Macaca fascicularis: one gene and its partner. The protein of the gene in region 2 purifies or fractionates together with the protein of the main gene of each other region. This does not show direct contact. Links are inferred from orthologs where the notes say so. Each region holds a gene or a part of one and is shown on either strand. Other genes may lie near its edges.

What was found.
Region 1: the proteins of COPS6 (region 2) and KLHL15 purify together in Homo sapiens (affinity purification with mass spectrometry; 3 studies listed by BioGRID and IntAct, with this or other methods). This does not show direct contact. The link is inferred for Macaca fascicularis from reciprocal best matches to the Homo sapiens genes COPS6 and KLHL15.

The regions. Positions count from the first base shown.
Region 1 is NC_088395.1:23,945,807-23,950,489, forward strand, and holds part of KLHL15 (kelch-like protein 15), read right to left. Parts: intron 2,426-4,683; 5' UTR 2,419-2,425; coding exon 1,714-2,418; intron 1-1,713. UniProt on the Homo sapiens protein: Substrate-specific adapter for CUL3 E3 ubiquitin-protein ligase complex.
Region 2 is NC_088377.1:48,741,181-48,746,354, forward strand, and holds COPS6 (COP9 signalosome complex subunit 6), read left to right. Parts: upstream 1-2,080; 5' UTR 2,081-2,093; coding exon 2,094-2,163; intron 2,164-2,386; coding exon 2,387-2,512; intron 2,513-2,710; coding exon 2,711-2,842; intron 2,843-3,489; coding exon 3,490-3,578; intron 3,579-3,681; coding exon 3,682-3,744; intron 3,745-3,997; coding exon 3,998-4,045; intron 4,046-4,133; coding exon 4,134-4,248; intron 4,249-4,333; coding exon 4,334-4,426; intron 4,427-4,527; coding exon 4,528-4,628; intron 4,629-4,758; coding exon 4,759-4,899; 3' UTR 4,900-5,018; downstream 5,019-5,174. UniProt on the Homo sapiens protein: Component of the COP9 signalosome complex (CSN), a complex involved in various cellular and developmental processes.

The sequences.
Region 1 (4,683 bases), on a different chromosome or scaffold from region 2:
CGGGAGGCTGAGGCAGAAGAATCGCTGGAACCCAGGAGGTAGAGGCTGCAGTGAGCCGAGATTACACCACTGCACTCCAGCCTGGGCGAGACTGAGATTCCATCTCAAAACCAAAAACCAAAAACCAAAAAAAACCCAAAACAAAACAGGATTCCCCAGGGAAAGAAAGCAATAAAAACAAAAGGAAAAAAAAAATCAAAACATCAGAGACAAATGATTTACATAATTGATGTGGGGATGATTATCACTAAACCAAAAATAATTAAGAAATATATTCTTGGCTGGGCGGGGGGTGGCTCAGGCCTGTAATCCCAGCACTTTGGGAGGCCGAGGCAGGTGGATCATGAGGTCAGGAGTTCGAGACCAGCCTGGCCAAGATGGTTAAACCCTGTCTTTACTAAAAAACACAAAAATTAGCCAGGCGCAGTGGCGGGCACCTGTGTAATCCCAGCTACTCGGGAGGCTGAGGCAAGAGAATCGCTTGAACCCGGGAGGCGGAGTTTGCAGTGAGCCGAGATCGCACCACCGCACTCTAGCCTGGGCGACAGAGCAAGACTCCATCTCAAATTTTAAAAAACATTATATATATATATATATACACACATACTTTAGTTTCAATTATTTTTGCTGTATCAATACATTCTGAGAATAAAAGATAAAAATCCACAAAACTGAATTCTCAGTTTCACAGCATTTTGGAGGAAAAAAAATGTCAGGCTGCTGTTATTCAAAGGCGCAAATGGGTTTATTTTTCAAATGGCATAAACAACCCTCCTTTGCAGATATTTTTATAACCAGGTCTAATAACTAAAGCTGAGGAACTATTTAACATGAAAGGTGACCGACCAAGTTTTCAGTGTGCTTTCTAGAAAAAAGAGGAGATGCAAGAAGTAAACAGAGCCCCAGAGGTAACCATGTGATTAGAAACCAATTAAGTTATTAAGCAATTACTAAATCTGCTCTATGACCTTTGGGCAAGAAAGGATCACAAGTGAAACTCTATAAAAATGAACATGCTTACATGCAAAAAAAGGGCAAGGCTGTTTCAGAGAAAGACTATTTTTAAGAGATGGTAAAATGTGCCCAGGGATGGTTGATCAATGTAGACAGAGGATTTATAGTCTACTTGTTTAGAAATGCCAAAATGATGTTTTTAGACACATAACATGTTTTCATTGTCAAATTTAGTTACTATTCACAGTAGAACAGGGAAAACCAGAAAGTAAGAGTAGGGAAGAAAATCACCATTAGGGCCTATTGGTTTTCAAGAGCTATTTTGTATGTCCTTGCTATATTTTAGAAGAATAAGAAACTCTATTAATGTATACCATGCAGAACTCTTCTCAATGCCAATTTCTGCATGTATTAGTTAAATTTATTTTTAAAAAGAGATCTAGTCTGACTCGGTTCTGATTTAATTTGTGAAATGAAAAGCTACAGCAAACATGTAATATTTTGCATAAAATAATTATGCTTCAACTTTAAAAGTACTTTTAAAATAAAACTATTCTACTACCTACGTGGTTTATCTTTCACCCACAAAATGTATTTCAGAAAACCTAAATGCACAAAAAATCAGGCTTCTTACACATAAAGTACTCTTATAAGTTATTCATTCTTGGCTCCTAACTAAGTCTGTGAATCTTACCTATAAAGACATACACTGCCTTAACTAAATGATGAGTACCGTCTATTACTTTCAAACACACTAACCTTCTCAAAAACGCTGGTTGGGGTCATCAAGCAAAACCGGATATTCTGAATGATGGTATCGGTATGTCTCCAGCGTCTTCTATCATGCCGCAGCCAAGACTGCACAGCCTCATACAGCTCTATCTCTGGGAACCTGCTCAGATGATCATTATCCAAATAAGACATGAGCTTCTCAAAGCTCAGATAGGACAGAAAGTCAGGCCTAGACATGAGTGGCACAAAGTTGTCTAGCAGAAAGGCGTCCAACTTCTCCCTGACTCCCTCGATGTTTACGCCGAAATCATCTAAGAGTCTCATAATTTCTGCACAATTTTCTAGGCAGATCTTCGCTAAGAGAAAAGAGCAGCAGAACTTCACCACTTCTATAAGTTGAACATACATGGCTGCCTGAAGAATCTCATGAACGGTATTCATACTCAGCTCTATAGTACCGTAGTACATAAATTGCAGGACGTGGCTGAAACCAGTAGCTGTTAGACCTTTTAAATGAATTTTGTCCTGATCTCGTTCCCTCATGTCTGCAGTAAACATAATTCTGAAGTAGTCACTCTGGGTGGCCAAGAGTGCTTTATGGGCCTGGAACTGATGATCTTCAATAACCAGAGTGACATCAAGAAGCAATCCCTCCTCATACAGTGCTCTGAACCCAGCAGAGACACTGGTGTCATGGATGGAGGAACAGAATCCTTCCACGTCCCCTGCCATGAATCACCTGGAAAAAAAGTAATCAAAGACAACAATGTTAAACACTTCTATGCATTCAGAAGAGAATATTAACTTGGAGTTTTAACAATTTTTGCTATTATCTCAATTCCACTACCTAAGTCCAAAATGTACAAGTCCTTTGGGAGAAGACAAACTGAAGGTTTGCAGACTAATGTTTTTGGCTTTCCTACCTAAGGAAAAGAATCTATTAAAGATACATCAATAGTTCATGCCTGTAACCCCAGCACTTGGGGAGGCCAAGGCAGGAAGATCGCTTGAGCCCAGGAGTTGGAGACCAGCCTGGGCAAGATGGCAAATCTCTGTCTCTATGAAATAATAATAATAGTAATAAAAAGTAGCTGGGCATGGTGGCACACTGCCAGCAGCCCCAGCTACTTCAGAGGCTGAGGTGGGAGAATCCCTTGAGCCCACGAGTTTGAGGCTACAGTGAGCTATCATAGCACCACTGCACTCCAGCCTGGGCAACAGAGCAACACCCTATCTCTTAAAAATATGTACATATGTCGGGCAAGCGCGGTGGCTCACACCTGTAATCCCAGCACTTTGGGAGGCCGAGGTGGGTGGATCACCTGAGGTCAGGAGTTCAAGACCAGCCTGACCAATATGGTGAAACCCCGACTCTACTAAAAATACAAAAAGCAGCCAGGTGTGGTGGCATGCACCTGTAGTCCCAGCTACTCAGGAGACTAAGACAGGAGAATCGCTTGAGCTCGGGAGGTGGAGGTTGCAGTGAGCCGAGATCACGCCACTGCACTCCAGCCTGGGAGACAGAGCGAGACTCCATCTCCAAAATAAAAAAAAAATAATAATAATAAATAAATAAATATACATAAAAATATATATGCGCACACACACATATATATGTCAAACAATGGTAAATTGTTATCTTACAAGTAATATATGCCTATTCCATTGATTTCATACTGTTAATCAAATATACTTTAAATATGTTCCAAAATTAGCAACATAAAAAGGATTTCACAGCCAAACACTAAATTATGAGAAAAGGGACAAAAATGAAACTAAAAAGTATACCTGAAAACTCCTAGAAATTTACCTAAAGGAAATATTCAAATAAATAGCCAAGTTGTACATATAAGGTTTTTCTATCTAGGCTTATTATTAAAAAATTAGAAACTATTCAAAAGTCCAATAACAAATTATTAAAACATAATACGGTCCTACAATAAATTACTTTAACAATTTAAAATGATGCCAACAGTTTAACTATTTTTACAAAGAATATTTACCAGATGTTGTATGGAAAAAAAAAGCAAGTGACCGCAGTATACTGAGTACATCTTCAAAAACTAAACACACATATTATTTGTTAGCTGAGAAAAAGTCTGGAGAAATATGTACCAAAATAATGTCCCTGGGTAGTGGGTTTTCAGGAGAGGCTTTCTTTTCATTTACCTCATTACCCTTACTTTGAAAAACAATAATGTGATGCATATATATTTAAAAATACAAATATATAATTTTAAAGGAAATTAAACCAAATCTTTCCGTATCAGAGAAATGAAGGTGAAACAGCAGAGAACTATAATTAGATCTCTTAAATACAGCAGAATAAACTAATTCAGTCTACTTTTTTGTTTTTTTGGGGACAGACTCTAGCTCTGTCGTCCAGGCTGGAGTGCAGTGACATAATCTCGGCTCACCACAACCTCTGCTTCCTGGGTTCAAGTGATTCTCATGCCTCAGCCTCCCAAGTAGCTGGGTCTACAGGCACCTGCCACACACCCAGCTAATTTTTCTATTTTTAGTGAAGACGGGTTTCGCCATGTTGGCTAGGCTCGTCTGAAACTCCTGGCCTCAGGTGATCCATCTGGCTCAGCCTCCCAAAGTGGTGGGGTTACAGGCATGAGCCACTGCGCCCAGTCACTAATTCAGTCTACTGGGCTATTTATGAAGCAAATTAATTTTCTCCTTTTTACATACCCCCTCCCAGGCCATCTATCTTCTTAATTCTCATCCTTACACAGCTCCCAGCTTCTTCCCCAATGACCCATCCTCCATCCCTGAATTCCCTCCCAAACCTTTCCACTGTGCCCCGTGGAACCTTACTTCAATGTAAACAAACTCCCCTACATGCTCAGGTTGGTCACAGAAAGTTCCCTCCTCAACTTTATTTAAATGAGACATAGTTTTCCTAAAAGTCACAGCTTAGCCGGGCGTGGTGGCTCACGCCTCTAATCCCAGCACTTTGGGAGGCCGAGGCGGGCGGATCACAAGGTCAGG
Region 2 (5,174 bases):
GCTAGGATTACAGGCATGAGCCACCGCACCCTGCTGCAAATGGTTACTTTTTTTGTGAGGTTCTCATTAGTGTTTGGTAAATCTACATTTTATGTAAGATACAATAAACATTTGAAAAGAGGGAGTGGAGGAAAAAGTCAATTATGCATCTGTCTCATGATAGGTGGAGGGATGATTCCTGGTCTCTTCCTTGTTCTATAATTGGGAAGATGAGCTTGTAATCAACATTGTCAGTATGAGATTTCACAGAACTCGGATTAGGGCTGGTTTATAGGGGGAGTGTTTATGCTGAAAGATTTAGAGGCTAATGAGGAATTTCCTGGCAAGCAATTTGTGAGGGAGACCATCTAGGGAGGTATATGCCCTTTGCCATTGTAGGAACCTGGCTTATGTATGAGGCTATGACACAGGGTTGTGGAATTACAGCTATCTGGGAACAAAAAGGAAGGGAGTTTTGCCTCAGTTCCCAAGCATAAATTTCTTCAGCATGCCCCCACCATACCCAGCTAATTTTGTTTTCATTTTTTGTAGAAACAAGGTCTCACCATGTTGCCAAGGCCGGTCTCAAACTCCTGGGTTCAAGTGATCCTCCCACCTTGGCCTCCCAACGTGCTGGGATTACAGGTGTGAGTCACCATGCCTGGCCTTGTGGAGTTATTTTATTTATTTATTTATTTATTTATTTATTTATTTATTTATTTATTTTTGAGACGGAGTCTCACTCTGTCTCGCCCAGGCTGGAGTGCAGTGGTGCGATCTCAGCTCACTGCAGCCTCTCCCTCCCAGGTTCAATCAATTCTTCTGCCTCAGTCTCCCGAGTAGCTGGGACTACAGGCACATGCCACCACGTCCGGCTAATTTTTGTATTTTCAGTAGAGACAGGGTTTCACCATGTTGGCCAGGCTGGTCTCAAACTCCTGACCTCAAGTGATTGGCCAGCCTCGGCCTCCCAAAGTGCTTGGATTACAGGTGTGAGCCACCATGCCTGGCCTTGTGGGGTTATTTTCGAAAGTCCTTGAGACAGTCCCTATATCAGACATGCAAGCATGAGCCCTTCTGCTTGGTGTTCTCATGACTCCAATTTGTTTGGACTTGACAATGTGATTTTTGTCCTGGTATCTGCAACTTTCACAAGATGGAGCAACTCAACACCAGATTCCATCCCAAATTATTCCTTCATTCACTCAAAAAGTATCTAGGCACCAATGTGTTAGGTACCGTGTTGGTCACAGGGGATACCACGATGAACAAGAGAAGGAAACACAGGCTCCTGAATGCGAGAGTGAGGCATGTGGAAAGCAGACACGGAGAGCTGGGTGTGGTGGCTCATGCCTGTAATCCCAGTGCTTTGGGAGGCCAAGGATGGAGGATCGCTTCTGTCAGGGAGTTGGAGACCAGCCTGGACAACCTAGTGAGACTCCTGTCTCTATCAAAATAAAAAAATAATAATAAAATTAGCTGGGTGTGGTGGGGTGCACCTGTAATCCCAGCTACTCGGGAGGCTGAAATGGGAGGATCACTTGAGCCTGAGAGTTTGAGGGTGCAGTCAGCTGATATCAGGCCACTGCACTTCAGCCTGGGCGACAGAGCGAGACCCTGTCTCAAACAAAACAAAACAAACCACCACCACCAGACATGAGGGCCAGTGCAGCTGTAGCCTGAAGATCAAGGGCTAGAAAAGTAGAGGCCAGACCGGGGCCAGATCAGGCAGGGCCTTGCAGGCTGTGGTTAGTTGTCTGGATTTTATTGTGAGGGAAATAACACGACATGTCATTCATTCTGCAACAGCCTTAAGAACTAGGAGTTCTTATCCCAATTTTACAGACGAGGACGATCAATCAAATCGTTAACTAATTTGTCCAAGGTCACCCGCAGGCGACAGGCGGGGACAGGGTCTGGGAAAACCGGCAGGCACCGAGGCCCAGAGGGCGTCGGGCTTCCCCGCACCGAGTGCCGCCCGCCGCGACCCGGGAACTGCCTGCTCCCCGGACGCCAGGCCCGCCGCTTGCCGCGGAGACACAGAACATGCGCTGCTCGCCTTACGGAAGCCGGGAAGGAAGGGGGCGGGGCCGAGGCTGGCGGGCGCGGGGAAAATGGCGGCGGCGGCGGGTGCAGCTACAAACGGGACCGGAGGGAGCAGCGGGATGGAGGTGGATGCAGCAGGTAACGGGCCGTGCGCGGGCGGCTTCCGGAGACCTCCTTCAGGGGTGCGTTGAGGCCTTGCTGTGCTCCCGGGAGAAGGGAGGAGGGCGGAGCAGCAACATCTTTCTCTGGGATAAGTTGCGGGAGGAAAAGTGTGGCCCGGGCTCCGTCGTCCCCCACTGCTATCTTCAGGGAAGAACGTGGGGCCCGGACTCTCACCCTCTCTCTTTCCCTCCACCCTTAGTAGTTCCCAGCGTGATGGCCTCCGGAGTGACTGGGAGTGTTTCCGTCGCTCTCCATCCCCTTGTCATTCTCAACATCTCCGACCACTGGATCCGCATGCGCTCCCAGGAGGGGCGGCCTGTGCAGGGTGAGTGTTGGGCATAGACTCCAGTCTCCTCTCCTTGCTCACCTCCCCCAGACAGTGGTCTTTTCCCCTTCCTTTACTAGATCCAATTCCCCTCCCCCAAATCATCGTTTCCCCAATACTTGGTTCCCACTCATCTCAGACCCTCAGGTCATAGAAGTCTCTTTAACGTTACCTTTTCCATGTCATTCTCTTTCCCAGTGATTGGGGCTTTGATTGGCAAGCAGGAGGGCCGAAATATCGAGGTGATGAACTCCTTTGAGCTGCTGTCCCACACCGTGGAAGAGAAGATTATAATTGACAAGGAATATTATTACACCAAGGAGGAGCAGTGTGAGAGTGGAATAGATGTGGGGAAGAGGAGTGGGAGTTAAAAAAAATGTGCAAGGTGGGGAAGATGGAGAGGGTTGGAAAGAAACCCGAGAGGACGCCAAGAACAGAGGAGAAAAAGTGAAGAGAGTAGCTGGAGAGATCTCAGAAAAAGAACACGTTCAGAGTTCTTTCTCAAAAAGAAAGTAAAGGATGAGAGAAGACAGGATAGAAGGGAGTAATTATTCTAAACTGAGCCAGGATTTGAGAAAGGAGGAGAAGCTGGTGAAAATACACCAGGAGTTTCACATTGAGGAAGGATGGTTTAAAGGACTATGTCAGGCCGGACGCAGTGAATCAGGCCTATAATCCCAGCACTTTGGGAGGCCGAGGCGGGTGGATCATGAGGTCAGGAGTTACAGACCAGCCTGGCAAACATAGTGAAACCCCATCTCTACTGAAAATACAAAAATTAGCCTGGCATGGTGGTGCGTGCCTGAAGTCCCAGCTACTCGGGAGGCTGAGGCAGAATTGCTTGAACCTGGGAGGCAGAGGTTGTGGTGAGCCAAGATCGTGCCACTGCACTCTAGCCTAGGCAACAGAGCAAGACTCAAAAAAAAAAAAAAAAAAAAAAAAAGAATTACTGTGTGTTCTGGCCCTTTCCCCTCCAGTTAAACAGGTGTTCAAGGAGCTGGAGTTTCTGGGTTGGTATACCACAGGGGGGCCACCTGACCCCTCGGACATCCACGTCCATAAGCAGGTATACATGCTCACACCTGTGCATGCTGGGGCAGAGAATGGAGAATGAGGGGAAGGAGAAAGGTGGGGGTCACTGACTTCTGTGCATTGTCCCTCTCTTCCAGGTGTGTGAGATCATTGAGAGCCCCCTCTTTCTGAAGTTGAACCCTATGACCAAGCACACAGATGTGAGTAATACCCCATGCCTACTCTGTCGTGATTGTCACTGTTGCCTTTTACTGTGTGATACTCTTCTATTGGGGAATGCCAGGTGCCACTTACCAGCTGTAACTCTGTCTTAGTCATTTCATCTCCAAACTGTGAAGGGAGGTAATCCCTACTTCACTGGTTTCTTGGGAAGATGAGATGAGAGGAAATGGGTGAAAGCAGCTCGTCCAAATGTTGGCATATAGTGTTCAGGTTTCTCCATCTCCTTCACAGCTTCCTGTCAGCGTTTTTGAGTCTGTCATCGATATAATCAATGGAGAGGTAATACCCTACCCTTGAACCCTCAGATCCTGCTTTTGGCCTCTTTCCTGCTTTTGATTCTCCCTTTGTGGGTTACCTTGCCTTGTAGGCCACAATGCTGTTTGCTGAGCTGACCTACACTCTGGCCACAGAGGAAGCGGAACGCATTGGTGTAGACCACGTAGCCCGAATGACAGCAACAGGCAGTGGAGAGAACTCCACTGGTAATGGAGGGGATTACTTGGAAGTGGGGTTGGAAGGTGTGGCCACATCCCGTCTCAACCTCCTCCTGTCCTCGTCCCTTTGCAGTGGCTGAACACCTGATAGCACAGCACAGCGCCATCAAGATGCTGCACAGCCGCGTCAAGCTCATCTTGGAGTACGTCAAGGCCTCTGAAGCGGGTAGGACAGGGGCTTCCTTGGGCACTTCCCTGGCATTCTTCCTCTCCCTCCTGGGGAAGTGACAGCATCCAAACTAATGCAGCCTCTTTTTGTGCCTTTAGGAGAGGTCCCCTTTAATCATGAGATCCTGCGGGAGGCCTATGCTCTGTGTCACTGCCTCCCGGTGCTCAGCACAGACAAGTTCAAGACAGATTTTTATGATGTGAGTTTAAAACCTGGATGGGGAGGTGGGGCTCATGCTGTCACTTTCACGTGGAGGACCGGGGACTGTTGTTCCCTGGGCATGCCACGAGGGATCCCCTGAGGAATTTGTCCTTTCTGTTCCCTCCCAGCAATGCAACGACGTGGGGCTCATGGCCTACCTCGGCACCATCACGAAAACGTGCAACACCATGAACCAGTTTGTGAACAAGTTCAACGTCCTCTATGATCGACAAGGCATCGGCAGGCGAATGCGCGGGCTCTTCTTCTGAGGAGGGTACTTGAAGGGCTGATGGACAGGGGTCAGGCAACTGTCCCAAAGGGGAGGGCGCTACACTTGAGAGAAACCGCTGTCATTAATAATAAAGGGGAGCAGCCCCCGAGCACCCCTGCTGGTGGCTCTGTCCTCTCTGTTAGGCACCACACTGGTTTGTCAACTTGGATGTTCATCGAGGTTCATCGTGAGCCTTGCTCACAAGCCCTTCTGATGCTTTTCCATGAGGGAGGCACTGCCGTTTCAAGTGACCCCGTGTCAGTCACATGGACT